Neurospora crassa OR74A: one gene and its partners. The protein of the gene in region 1 purifies or fractionates together with the protein of each later gene. This does not show direct contact. Links are inferred from orthologs where the notes say so. Each region holds a gene or a part of one and is shown in the gene's direction. Other genes may lie near its edges. The genes, in order: hH2Az, NCU05587 and NCU06491.

Region 1 (3,689 bases):
TATATACGACAGTCGGATAGTACATTTCATCATGAGCACATATTACAGCGGCGGTGCTGGCAACACCGGTAGCGGCAATGGCTCAAATGGCGCGGCGGTCGGCCCCACATCGGGAGCCGGGGATCTACCCGCACCGGCCCAAGCTCCGAAGTGGGTCTTGCCATGGTTTCTTTTTATCTTTTTCCCAATCCTAGAATCCCGTCGTACGTCGGCATCCCTTTGGTAGTTGGCTGTTGAGCTACAAACATAATCCAAAGGCTTCCATATTACAGGCGGAATGGCAAAAGTAGTTATCTAATGCATCTTGTGTCACCAGAAGAAGAGAGTACGGCTCCATGATGAACAGATACATCCACGACACTACCACCCAAGTATCGGATCGGGTTTCGGGGCATCAGGACCCGATCAGCAACGACCGTCATAGGCTGGAGGTATTGCAGAGAGTGGAAAGACGGAGATGTGAGGCTGAGAGGTTGGCGAGGATTGCGAGAGGGAATTGAAGAGTGGTGAAGAAGGCACACAATTACTGTGTGCATCTTTGCACGATTTACGTTGTTTGAAGCGTTCATGTTGGGAGCTTACATAGTTCGTTGTGAATTGAACCTCAGTCACCACTGAAAACAGACAGCTCGGTCTGCTCAAGCGCAGACAGCTGGCAGACACTGCGCCAGTTGAAATGTCGTAACGTGAAAGCTTGGCACGGCTGCGACGAGTTTTTGGAGTAAGGTCACGGACCACAACAACCAGCGGCAGATTGGCAAAGGCTCACCCAAGGCTCCGAATCACACTATCTGAGCAACATTTCAAGACACTCTGCAACACCACGCCAGCCTCGGAAAAGCGTGCAAATCTGCTGTGAAGATGCTCAGGCCTTCATTGCCAAAGACTCTGACGGCTTTTGGCCCGCCTTAACCAGCTGGGTGGCCGGCCCGGACAGTGCCCGTCGCGGATCTCTGCATGGCTTCAAACCAGAAAGGTGCTCTCAACGTCGGGCAACAGTGAGGTATGCGACTCCCCTTGCATCACATGGACTTGTCCTGGGAGGCCTTTTCTTGGGCCGTTCATTGCGGAGATGTCGGCAAGGTTCTCTGCAAGACCGTGTCAGCCACGGCCCTTGCGAGGCTGAGTTGAGGTCTGGCTATCTGTCTCGAGATGGACCTCACTGGGTCGTCATGGCTGGCTCGAGGCCTTGCTGGCTGGGCCTTTGCCTGGAGCTTCATGATATTGCCAAGCCTCGGAGCTCCCTTCGAATTGGTCAAGTGGTCTGCTTGGCTCGCCGTACCCAAGGTTACCCCAAGGTACCTACCTACCTACCTACACTAACCTACCTACCCTCCCTCTGCGGAGGAGGAAAAAAAAAAAAAAAAAAAAAAAAAAAAAAAATCAGCAACAGCGACAAATCAGCACACACGGCAAGCAAAGCACCCACGGGAGCTGGCTGTTAGCTGACTGAGCTCGAGCTTCCATCCCTTCGCTTAGCTTGGACGTCGGCACCTTCCCTCCTGTACGGACGCATGTCTCAGGCGCGGTTGCGCTCAAACACGGCGGGCAATCACCTGGAAGGACACAACATCAAAGGGCCCATCAGTGGCATGCATCTTCGGCCCTTCTGAATTTTCGAGCGTCTCCTGGCGCCAACTTCAACACCAAACCTCGTCGCGATCATCCTTCCGGCCAAAACACCACTTTTCCATCCGCCAACCCCGCTTCATCCACTTCCACCAGTTCCACGCAAATCCCGCGCCGTTGCCCCGTCAATATCAACATCCAGCATCGTCACGACCACCGGTTTTATTCTCGACACTACGTCCATCCGCCCATCCCGCGCACAACCATCCCACCCCGTTCAATCCCTTCAAACAAACAAACAAACACAATGGCTGGCGGAAAGGGCAAGTCGTCTGGCGGCAAGAGCTCGGGTGGAAAGACCTCGGGCGTCGAAGGTCCCAAGAAGCAGCAGAGCCATTCTGCTCGCGCTGGTCTTCAGGTACGTTTTTATAGTTGACGAGCTTCATGGCTCTGTCCGCTTTCAATTCCTGCTCCGATCTGCACCATCGACGTCGTCTCATCAACCAACTTTTTTTTTGCTCGCATCCGCCATCCCTGTCGTCAGATGTCGATGGAATCACGCCGATACACCACAACGCGTCCACCGAGCCCCCTACATTTCCGGACAACCCCATAGTGCCAACCTACGAAGAACGCGAACTCGCTGCCTCACACGTCGGTCGCACACAACCCCGCCGCTGGGTAAAAGAAAAAAACCCCCATTGCGCCCCGTACGCGATACTATTTCGGCTTCATATGGACGCGTTGTTCTGTGCATCCTTCTCTCGCCCTGGCCCCGCACCCGGACCTTGTTCCGGTCCCTAACTTTGGATTTCTCGCTCTGACAACGAGGCGGAGCTGCGGCGTGCATTTCCGTCCTCTGGAGTTTGCCGTGTGTCTGATGCGCCATGCTGACTTGAATCTAATTAGTTCCCTTGCGGTCGTGTCAAGCGTTTCCTGAAGCAGAACACCCAAAACAAGATGCGCGTTGGCGCCAAGGCTGCCGTCTATGTTACTGCCGTGCTGGAATATTTGACTGCTGAAGTCCTCGAACTTGCGGGTGTAAGTCATTCATACCCCATCCGCTCGGCCATATTGCTTGGCGACGAGGAGGCTCCCATTTCCAAGTTTTACCTGCTTTATGGCTAACTCAATGATTTCCGTTGTATAGAACGCTGCCAAGGACCTGAAGGTCAAGCGTATTACTCCCCGCCATCTTCAGCTTGCCATCCGTGGAGATGAGGAGCTTGATACCCTCATCCGCGCCACTATCGCCTTCGGTGGTGTCCTCCCCCACATTAACCGCGCCCTTCTGCTCAAGGTAGAGCAGAAGAAGAAGGCCAAGGCTCAGGAGGCTTAAGTCCACAACTGCACCGAAAAACTCGACGTCGCACACGTTTCGCACACTGTCTTGCATCTCTCTAGCCCCGCTCCGGGCTGACGGGCAGGACAGCAATCGGCTTGTTCAAGGGATGTCACGGGGTGATGCCGGGGGGGTTGGGGATTGTCTTCGCTAATCCAACACTAACGCCGCTGTATTGTTGGGTATTTTCTTCCTATTATTTGTTGTTGGGATACGCACACGGGCTTGGGGCCCACCGAACCATGGCTTGAAAAAGCCGAGCACTCCCGGTGTCTGCGACGGCAACAAGCGCAGCGCATAGACGACGGCGAACTTCCCTTGCGACACTTCCAGCAGAGTGGTGCGTTCGGAACACACACGAAAAGCGAAGCGTTCTGTATCATCCAGACGTGGAAGCCGCTTGGGTGGCGATGAGCAGGGAGACCATTCACTGTATAATGTCATCTTGGAGTGCACCACACACTGGGAACGGCGAGCAATCTCCCCTCGTCACGGCGCGGCGTGCGACAGCAGCTCTTTTACGATATCTGTAACAACATGAATCTTCTTTATCGTTTTTTTTATAGTACGACTCGGCCATGAGGGCTTAGCGAGGAAAACATCAGGACACGTTAAATGAACGTGTCGGTTGGTACTGGTTGCAGGTAGTGGCGGAATAAAGGCTACAAGGAAGAGCCTTGAAAATTTGCGATACCAATTCTTATTATGTTCTCTCTACAGTCTGGGATGCGCAATTCTATTCATGGTGACTACAATGTGTTCAGTCTCACCATCTGCT
Region 2 (3,749 bases), on another chromosome or scaffold:
CTCAATAGCTCGCGCTCAGCCGCAACAAAAGGACGCCACGGTTTCCTAAAACCTCCGTGGGGGCCAGCGTTGCGGCCTCGTCCACGGCCACTGGGTCTTCCGTGGCGACGATCGCCTCTGGGAGAGTGGGCTCTGCGGCCATTGTAGGACTGCCTGTTGTCGTTGGGACGGTAGTTGTCGTAGCTCGAATTGCTGACTCCCGGCGGCTTCTCTACTCTAAACGAGAAATCACCCTGAGGAGGCCGGTAATTGTCGCGATCTCTTCCACCGCCACCGCCACCGTTGTTGCGGTTGGAGTAGTTGTCGGAGGGACGGTACGATGTCGGCTGGGGAGGTCGGGCAGGGAGACCATGAGGGCCATTCGGCGCGCGTTGTTGATAGCCATTGCGGTCGTCCCGAGGGTCGTTACCACGACGTCGACCGCCGCCGCCGCCACCGCCGTTCTGGTATCGTTGTGACATGCTAAAACTAGCAGTTATGGGTTTATGCGATACTGACCACGATAAAGCGCATCGAGTGAGTGCTCGGTATCGGAGCACAAGAGGATGAGGTTGATTCCACAAGGGGGGCAAAATACGCTGAGAGGTGGAAATGTTCACCTTGTCATTTAATTTTTTTTTAAAAGTCAGAGGTAAAAGTTGAGTGGGGCAACATTGATGGGATTTGTAGTGGTCGGGTTGCAGAGTTCAGTTGCCGTGACGGGAGCGGGAGTGTGCTCTCAACAGTGGAAGTGAAGTGATGGATGACGGAAGGCAGGGCTGCCCGGTCCCAGTCGAGATTTCCACAAGGCCCTAGGCTGCGCTGTGTGTGTGTGTCTCCGGTGTGTTGTGCCCGCTGCCGCAGTGGCAGGCGCCGGCAGGTTCCGTTCTCACTCTCCGGCGCTGTCAGGTCAGCGAGTCTTTAGTGTACACTTGCGGCGGCGGAAATGATGAAATGCCAAGCAAGAGAACCCCAGCCCGTCGAGGTCCGGGTGGCACTGACAACCCTTATCGTTCCCCTTATCAGCAGGTCCCGTCGTCGATGCAAGTGGAAACCCAAACAATTGACGGTTCTTGCGACAACAACCGCGACGCGACTCTCCCACGCACTTCAAGCTACGAGGGCCGGGGCGCGAGAGGGATTCAATTGTCAGCAGCTGTTGTTTCAGTACTGTCATGACCGGACGAGGAGGGGCTAAAAAGTCCCGGGCGGCAGGGCCGGCACCCCCCACGACAACCCTGGTTCTCGACAACGGCGCCGACACCATCAAGGCTGGATTCGTCTCCGATGACAAGAGCGACGGCAAGCCTCGCATCATTCCGAATTGCCTCGCTCGAGACCGTCACAGGAAGATCTATGTCGGCTCGGAACTCGAAAAATGCAAGGACTTCAGCGAATTGGCCTTCAGGCGCCCCGTCGAAAAGGGCTTTATCGTCAACTGGGAGGCCCAGAAAGAGATCTGGGATCGCGAGTTCTTCGACGATAAAGCTGCGCAGAAATGCGACCCATCAGACACCAGGCTCATTCTCACAGAGCAACCAAATTCATTGCCTTCTCTCCAAACACACTGTGACCAGATCGTCTTTGAGGAGTATGGCTTTGCGAGTTACTACCGTGGCCTGGGTATGTCGCCTCCTAGAGAGCTGTTAGGGAAAGGGTGCTGACCTTGTTTTCTAGGTCCTGTCTTCAACGCGTACCGGGACATACAATCCATCTTCCGAACACCCCAATCCACCATAGACAGTCCAGCCCAAGTCATCCTGCTCATCGACTCGGGTTACTCTCACACCACCGTTACGCCTATCCTCCAAGGCCGACCGCTACATCCGGCCATACGAAGACTTGATGTGGGTGGCAAGCTCATGACCAATTATCTCACCAGGTTACTGTCCGTCCGCCACTTCGACATGCGCAACGAACCATACATTGTGAACGAGATGAAAGAAGCAGTCTGTTACACCTCCCTGGACTTCAAGGGAGACCTGGAAAAGACTTGGAAAGGGACGCGCGGCGAAAAGAGGGAGGACTACTTGAGCGGTGCTGGCATCGCCAAAGACTACGTTCTGCCCGACTCCCACACGCGCTTCCACGGTGTTGTCCGCGACTACGAGCCTGGTGTCTCGGCGCGCGCCCGCAAGGGCATTGTATCCACAGAGGACGTCCTGACGCTACGGAACGAGCGTTTTGTTGTTCCAGAGCTCCTCTTCAACCCTTCTGATATCGGCATCCGGCAACCTGGCATCGCCGACCTAGTCAAGCAGTCCCTCTTGGCTGTGCCAATTGGACTGTGGCCTGGCCTTCTGGCTAATATCGTAGTTGTGGGAGGAAACAGTCTCTCTGAAGGGTTCTGTCAGCGCTTGCAAACAGAGATTCTCAAGCGATTCCCCGATGAATGCAGGGTCAGAGTTGCCCGCCCGGAAGACCCTATCATCAGCACCTGGTTGGGAGCTGCCAATTTCGCCAAGCATGAACATGCCAGTAAGCTCGAGGTCACCAAGCAAGAGTATGAGGAACATGGAGCTGCTTGGGTGGCAAGAAAATTTGCTGCTGGGCTCGGACTCGACCCCTGAGCATTTGCTTGGAGTCTATTATTGCCATTTTTGAAGCTTTCCAGGGTTCATTAGCCCATAAAGCGATTGCCAAGCGGCTCCCTATGCTGCTTGATTGAGTGCCCGGCTGGATACTACCCAGACAAAAATGAGCAGGGTGGGCTAGTACGCTTTGCTTCTTGCCTGTCTCTGGACGTTGAGTGCCATACACTCTGTCTGAAAAGCGCCGTTCAATCCGAAACCCTGCCGTGCCATGCCAGAACACCAAGACTCTGTCTCGATGGGCTGGGTGTATAGACTGGGTGTTGATCTTGATTGAGATGCACTGGGGCAAAACCGCGCAACTGATCTCAGCTACCTACAGCTCTACACGGAAAAGCAGGTATCAGAGTTTCTGAGGGCGAGCTACTTGCCACCCTTGTGATACCCATGATGCTGCCTTTGGTAAAGTTTTCAAAATGGTTTGAAAAAAGGATCAACGCTAACCCTCGGAAAGAGACCAAATCACACCATCGTCCTCATCAGTGGTTTGTTGTGATCGCCTGCAGCTTCTTTATTTTAAACAAACTTGGCTCAGACGAAGAATTTGGCCCATTTCACCTCCAAAGGTGCAAATAACCCAATATATATGAAGCTCTACTCTATCAATCGGATCTTGCCCAAGCCTAGCTTTTCAGCCTCTGCATTCAGAGCATCAATCTCTGCCTTGGCATATGGTATGCCATCTTTCAATCTCTGCTCCTCGTTCAGCTGCTCAATCTCGCCCGGGAAGTAAATTCTGTCGACGCCATGCATCTTCTCCGAGTTCACCGCTTTCTGGTATAGGATATCCATGCGTTCCCTGAACTCGTCCAGGCTCATGAACAAGTCAGGCTTGATGGCCACGAAGAAGTGGCCAACGTCCCCCGGCTTGGACATATCATACGGCCCCGTGACGCCTCCAGCAAACGCAGAACCCGAAAGCACGCCGGAGAAGACATCCATCATGATCGCCAGCGCCGACCCCTTTGGCCCACCCATAGGCAGCATCACGCCTTCCAGCGCCTTGGCCGGATCATCAGTTTGCTTGCCCTCCCCATCCAAAGCCCAGTCAGTCGGTATCTTCTCTCCCCTCCTCAGCGCCTTATAGATCTTGCCCCTCGCTGCGACCGACGGGGCCATGTCCAAGATGAACGGCTTCGACCCCTCGCCCTTCCCACCCGGCGCTCCACAGGCGATGGG
Region 3 (3,507 bases), on another chromosome or scaffold:
GCAACCCTTGGCCGTGTTGTTGAACCAGTTGAGATGCTGCTCTTGCTTGAACTCGGCATCGCTGCGGGGTGCCATACGTGGCGAGACACCCTCGGGATGCTCGTACAGGTGTTTGGCGAGGATAGGGATTGCCTCCGGACAGATCATGGTCCCGCCGCCCTCGGGCATGATATCGGTGAAGAGAGGAATGACGAGCAGGCCCTGCTCCGGGCTGTCAAGGTAGTGGACGAAGAAGTCACCATCGACGTGCCAATTGTCCAGCTTTTGCGGGGGGACTGGTTTCCCTTCTTTCTGTGGTGTGCCCAGGTTGACGATAAGGGAGTCCTTCCACTTCTTCGACCAGTTCGCGATCTTATCCTCGCCGCCGCAAAGCTCGCTGATGGCTGCCCAGGCACGAGGGGCAAAGTCTGCAGCGTCGAACTCCATATGTGAGGGCATGTTGACACGTTCTTTGTTCCAGGTGGACTTGTCGTTTGGATCCATTCCTAGTCTCGTCCAAACATTGGCGATGATTTCCTGTGCTCTCTGCTGCGTGAAGGCAGCCGGGATCCTGGCATGGTCAGTACCTCGAACGAGGTTGAACAGCTGGTATGGTGGCATGACACCTACTTGACCCAGCCATGAGTGAGGAAGTGTTCCTTCTCTTCAAGACTCAGAGCAGATGACGACGACATGTTCAGTGTGATGTTGCCTTTGGGACACATCCTGTAGAAAGTAGCGTAAAGAACAAGGCTATAGACTGGAACGGGGCCGACAAGCTATCTCTACCCTTATATACTCTTTTCAAGATCCCGCCAGAAACTAACCCAGGCTAATCAATCCGACTGTCACGACAACTCCGGACTCCGAATGGAATGCCGCCTCACACTGCGCCACGAGGCAGCTAGGTAATCCATCCTTGCTCCGTAGGCGCCCTAGGCTACGTGTAACCGGCGGGGTGGTTTTTGGTTTAACCAGAAATACCCTATTGGATATCGCCAGGTTTATTGGAGAGTACGGCATCACCAGTTTTCCATTTTCGTGATAGCGGCCTTTCTGAACCTGAACATCATGTCCCAGTGGTGTGGTTGACAACATCCCGTCGTCAGGGGCAGATCCAGCTTGTCATCGGATGATAGTAACGGAACTCTAAAAAGGTTCCCGGTTGCGGGGCGTTTTCAGCGGGACATCAAGGAAGGTGTGGGCGTGATGCGGGGGAGCTTGAGCCGAACAGCGGCGACATGACGGCAAGCTGCCCTATTGGCTGCTAACAGAGCGTTTGTGTTTCCACTGTCACGCTGCAGTCGATCGGACAAAGACATGGATCCCGTCCTTGTTCCCTTCATCACTTTTCCACTTTAATATTCCGGCCCACGATACTTGGAAGAGGTACCATTCTTGGAACGACGACACACACGGCAACGAGAATTTTACGCGAATAGCTTGAGGAAGACCAGACTGTTATATTCGCGAGATACCAAGATGGCGCCAACACTAGAGCTTCTTGCAGAAGACTACGCGTCAGAGGAAGACTCCGACTTCGCCCCAGAAACTGCCGAAGCCGCGGGAGAATCATCAATATCCGACGATGACGACGAAGAAGCCGGTGAAGATGCCGAGAAAGCGAAACCCGAGAAGAGGAAACGCGCTGCCATCGAGGAGGCGGAAGACGCTGGTTATGACAATTCTGGAGATGAAGCTATAATAAAGAAGGGGGAGAAACGTCAAAAGAAAACAAAGACAAAACTTGCTGCCGACGATGAGGAAACTGGCGAGGGCGGTCTCATCAAGACGCGCAGCCAACGCGCTGTTGAGTATGTTCTCACATCAACCCTCTTCTCTTTGGGTCCTGGGCATTAACGACAATGGCAGAAAGGAGAAACGTTCAACAGCCGCCGCCAGCGGACCTGTTACAATCGACGTCGATGCCCTTTGGGCGCAAATGATCAGCGAGCCGGTCATACCACGAACAAGTACAGCGAAACCAGACGAAAGCGCCGATCCAGCGAACTGTGACATCGCGAAATCGTCATCCCAGCAGCCAGAAACAGCCAAGGCGAAAGATCCCGATTCCGACCTCATAAAGATCAAGAGAACCTACAACTTCGCCGGCAAAGTCCACACTGAAGAAAAGCTCGTTGCCCGCGATTCTGCCGAAGCAAAACTCTATCTCGCCTCTCTCGGAGAGAACGCTCCAGCGGACGGCGAAACAGCCGCCGAGGACGAGTCCTCCTCTGCCAAGCGCATGCCCCGAAAAGCTTTCCGGTCCGTCTTCGAGCCCATCACCGACGCCAACTCGGCGCATCGTTCCGACCTCAACCTGAGCATGGCCTCCCGCCTGCAGGCTCGCGAAGCCACGGGCAACAAGGCCAAGAAGCTCAACACGGTCGAGAAGAGCAAGATGGACTGGGCGGTGGCGGTCGACAAGATGGGCCTCAAAGACGAGCTCGAGCTGGCCGGCAAGTCCAAGGACTCGTTTGCGGCGAGGCAGGATTTCTTGGCCAGGAGCGAGATGCGCAGGGAGGAGGAGGCGAGGAGGGCGAGGATGGCGCAGGCGGGGAAGACGTGAGCGTGTCACGATCTCCAGTCAATCCATTGGTCGCTTGCCTATTATTGTTGTATGGATGGCGTCTCCCTTACCACTACAAGTTTGGAAGGACAGCACTATGCAACACCATTTCATTTCTTACGTTCGCCAAATAGAGATACCCCAGTTTTCAATATCGGAACTTTCCAACGCGTTGAAGACACCAAGCAAAACACGACTTGCATGAACTCAGGGTCACAGTCACATATCAATTCCTTGCAATTCCTGGTCACATTGCAAAGGAACATGCATTTCTCATCCAGAAATCATTTGGCAAGTTGTACCCATGCACCACGCTGTCTGACTCATGATCCCAACTTCTCAATGCAGTTATCATCAACCAATCATCAACTGGCGTGGTGGCGGAGTGGTCTAACGCGCAAGACTAGAAATCTTGTTCCTTCGGGAGCGTCTGTTCGAATCAGGCCCACGTCGAAGTGATTTTTTTTTCCAATTTCTTTTTTTTTTTTTGGACGATTTTATTGTTGAATGGCTCCATAACACCAGTCTGGGGTACCTAGCCACTGGCAGTGGATGCCGACGACAACGCTTTTTGGTCCTTTGTTCACAATGATTTCCCAATGTATCTTGGGAGCTTATTCGATTATTTGGGGGGTTGGTTTCCGCTGATTCAGTACTAGATCAACGACCTCTCCTCCAAGTTGAGAATGTCTAGAAACTCAACAACGGAAGATTATCTACGTCTGACTTCCTGTCTTCAACAGGTAGTTCAACCATCCAAGGTTGTTGGGTACCTCTACCTATGTACACACGCCTTAAAAGCCCTTTTGAGATCTGAAAATAACCTTGAAGGTAGACTTGCTTGAGAGGTTCTACCTTACCCCCCTTCTTACCGACCAGTAGTCGAAGCTGATGCTAATAAGAAGGGGAAAAAAAGGTAACTGAAGGATGGTAAAAGGTGGTAGCGGTGACTATCTACT

Evidence for each region.
Region 2: the proteins of hH2Az (region 1) and NCU05587 purify together in Saccharomyces cerevisiae (affinity purification with mass spectrometry, with the first as the bait; 4 studies listed by BioGRID). This does not show direct contact. The link is inferred for Neurospora crassa OR74A from reciprocal best matches to the Saccharomyces cerevisiae genes HTZ1 and ARP6.
Region 3: the proteins of hH2Az (region 1) and NCU06491 purify together in Saccharomyces cerevisiae (affinity purification with mass spectrometry, with the first as the bait; 3 studies listed by BioGRID). This does not show direct contact. The link is inferred for Neurospora crassa OR74A from reciprocal best matches to the Saccharomyces cerevisiae genes HTZ1 and SWC5.

What each region holds. Positions count from the first base shown.
Region 1 is NC_026502.1:1,389,892-1,393,580, reverse strand, and holds the start of hH2Az (histone H2A.Z), read left to right. Parts: upstream 1-757; 5' UTR 758-1,876; coding exon 1,877-1,987; intron 1,988-2,478; coding exon 2,479-2,610; intron 2,611-2,719; coding exon 2,720-2,908; 3' UTR 2,909-3,689. UniProt on the Saccharomyces cerevisiae protein: Variant histone H2A which can replace H2A in some nucleosomes. Nucleosomes wrap and compact DNA into chromatin, limiting DNA accessibility to the cellular machineries which require DNA as a template.
Region 2 is NC_026506.1:1,416,869-1,420,617, forward strand, and holds the start of NCU05587 (actin-like protein arp-6), read left to right. Parts: upstream 1-1,055; 5' UTR 1,056-1,154; coding exon 1,155-1,602; intron 1,603-1,656; coding exon 1,657-2,549; 3' UTR 2,550-2,972; exon of another isoform or gene 2,973-3,024; 3' UTR 3,025-3,164; coding exon of another isoform or gene 3,165-3,749. Other genes in the region: NCU05588 (topoisomerase TRF4), read right to left, coding at 1-461; NCU05586 (malate/L-lactate dehydrogenase), read right to left, coding at 3,165-3,749. UniProt on the Saccharomyces cerevisiae protein: Component of the SWR1 complex which mediates the ATP-dependent exchange of histone H2A for the H2A variant HZT1 leading to transcriptional regulation of selected genes by chromatin remodeling. Involved in chromosome stability.
Region 3 is NC_026503.1:1,608,527-1,612,033, forward strand, and holds NCU06491 (SWR1-complex protein 5), read left to right. Parts: upstream 1-1,041; 5' UTR 1,042-1,461; coding exon 1,462-1,793; intron 1,794-1,851; coding exon 1,852-2,548; 3' UTR 2,549-2,909; downstream 2,910-3,507. Other genes in the region: NCU06490 (hypothetical protein), read right to left, coding at 1-550, 610-704. UniProt on the Saccharomyces cerevisiae protein: Component of the SWR1 complex which mediates the ATP-dependent exchange of histone H2A for the H2A variant HZT1 leading to transcriptional regulation of selected genes by chromatin remodeling. Involved in chromosome stability.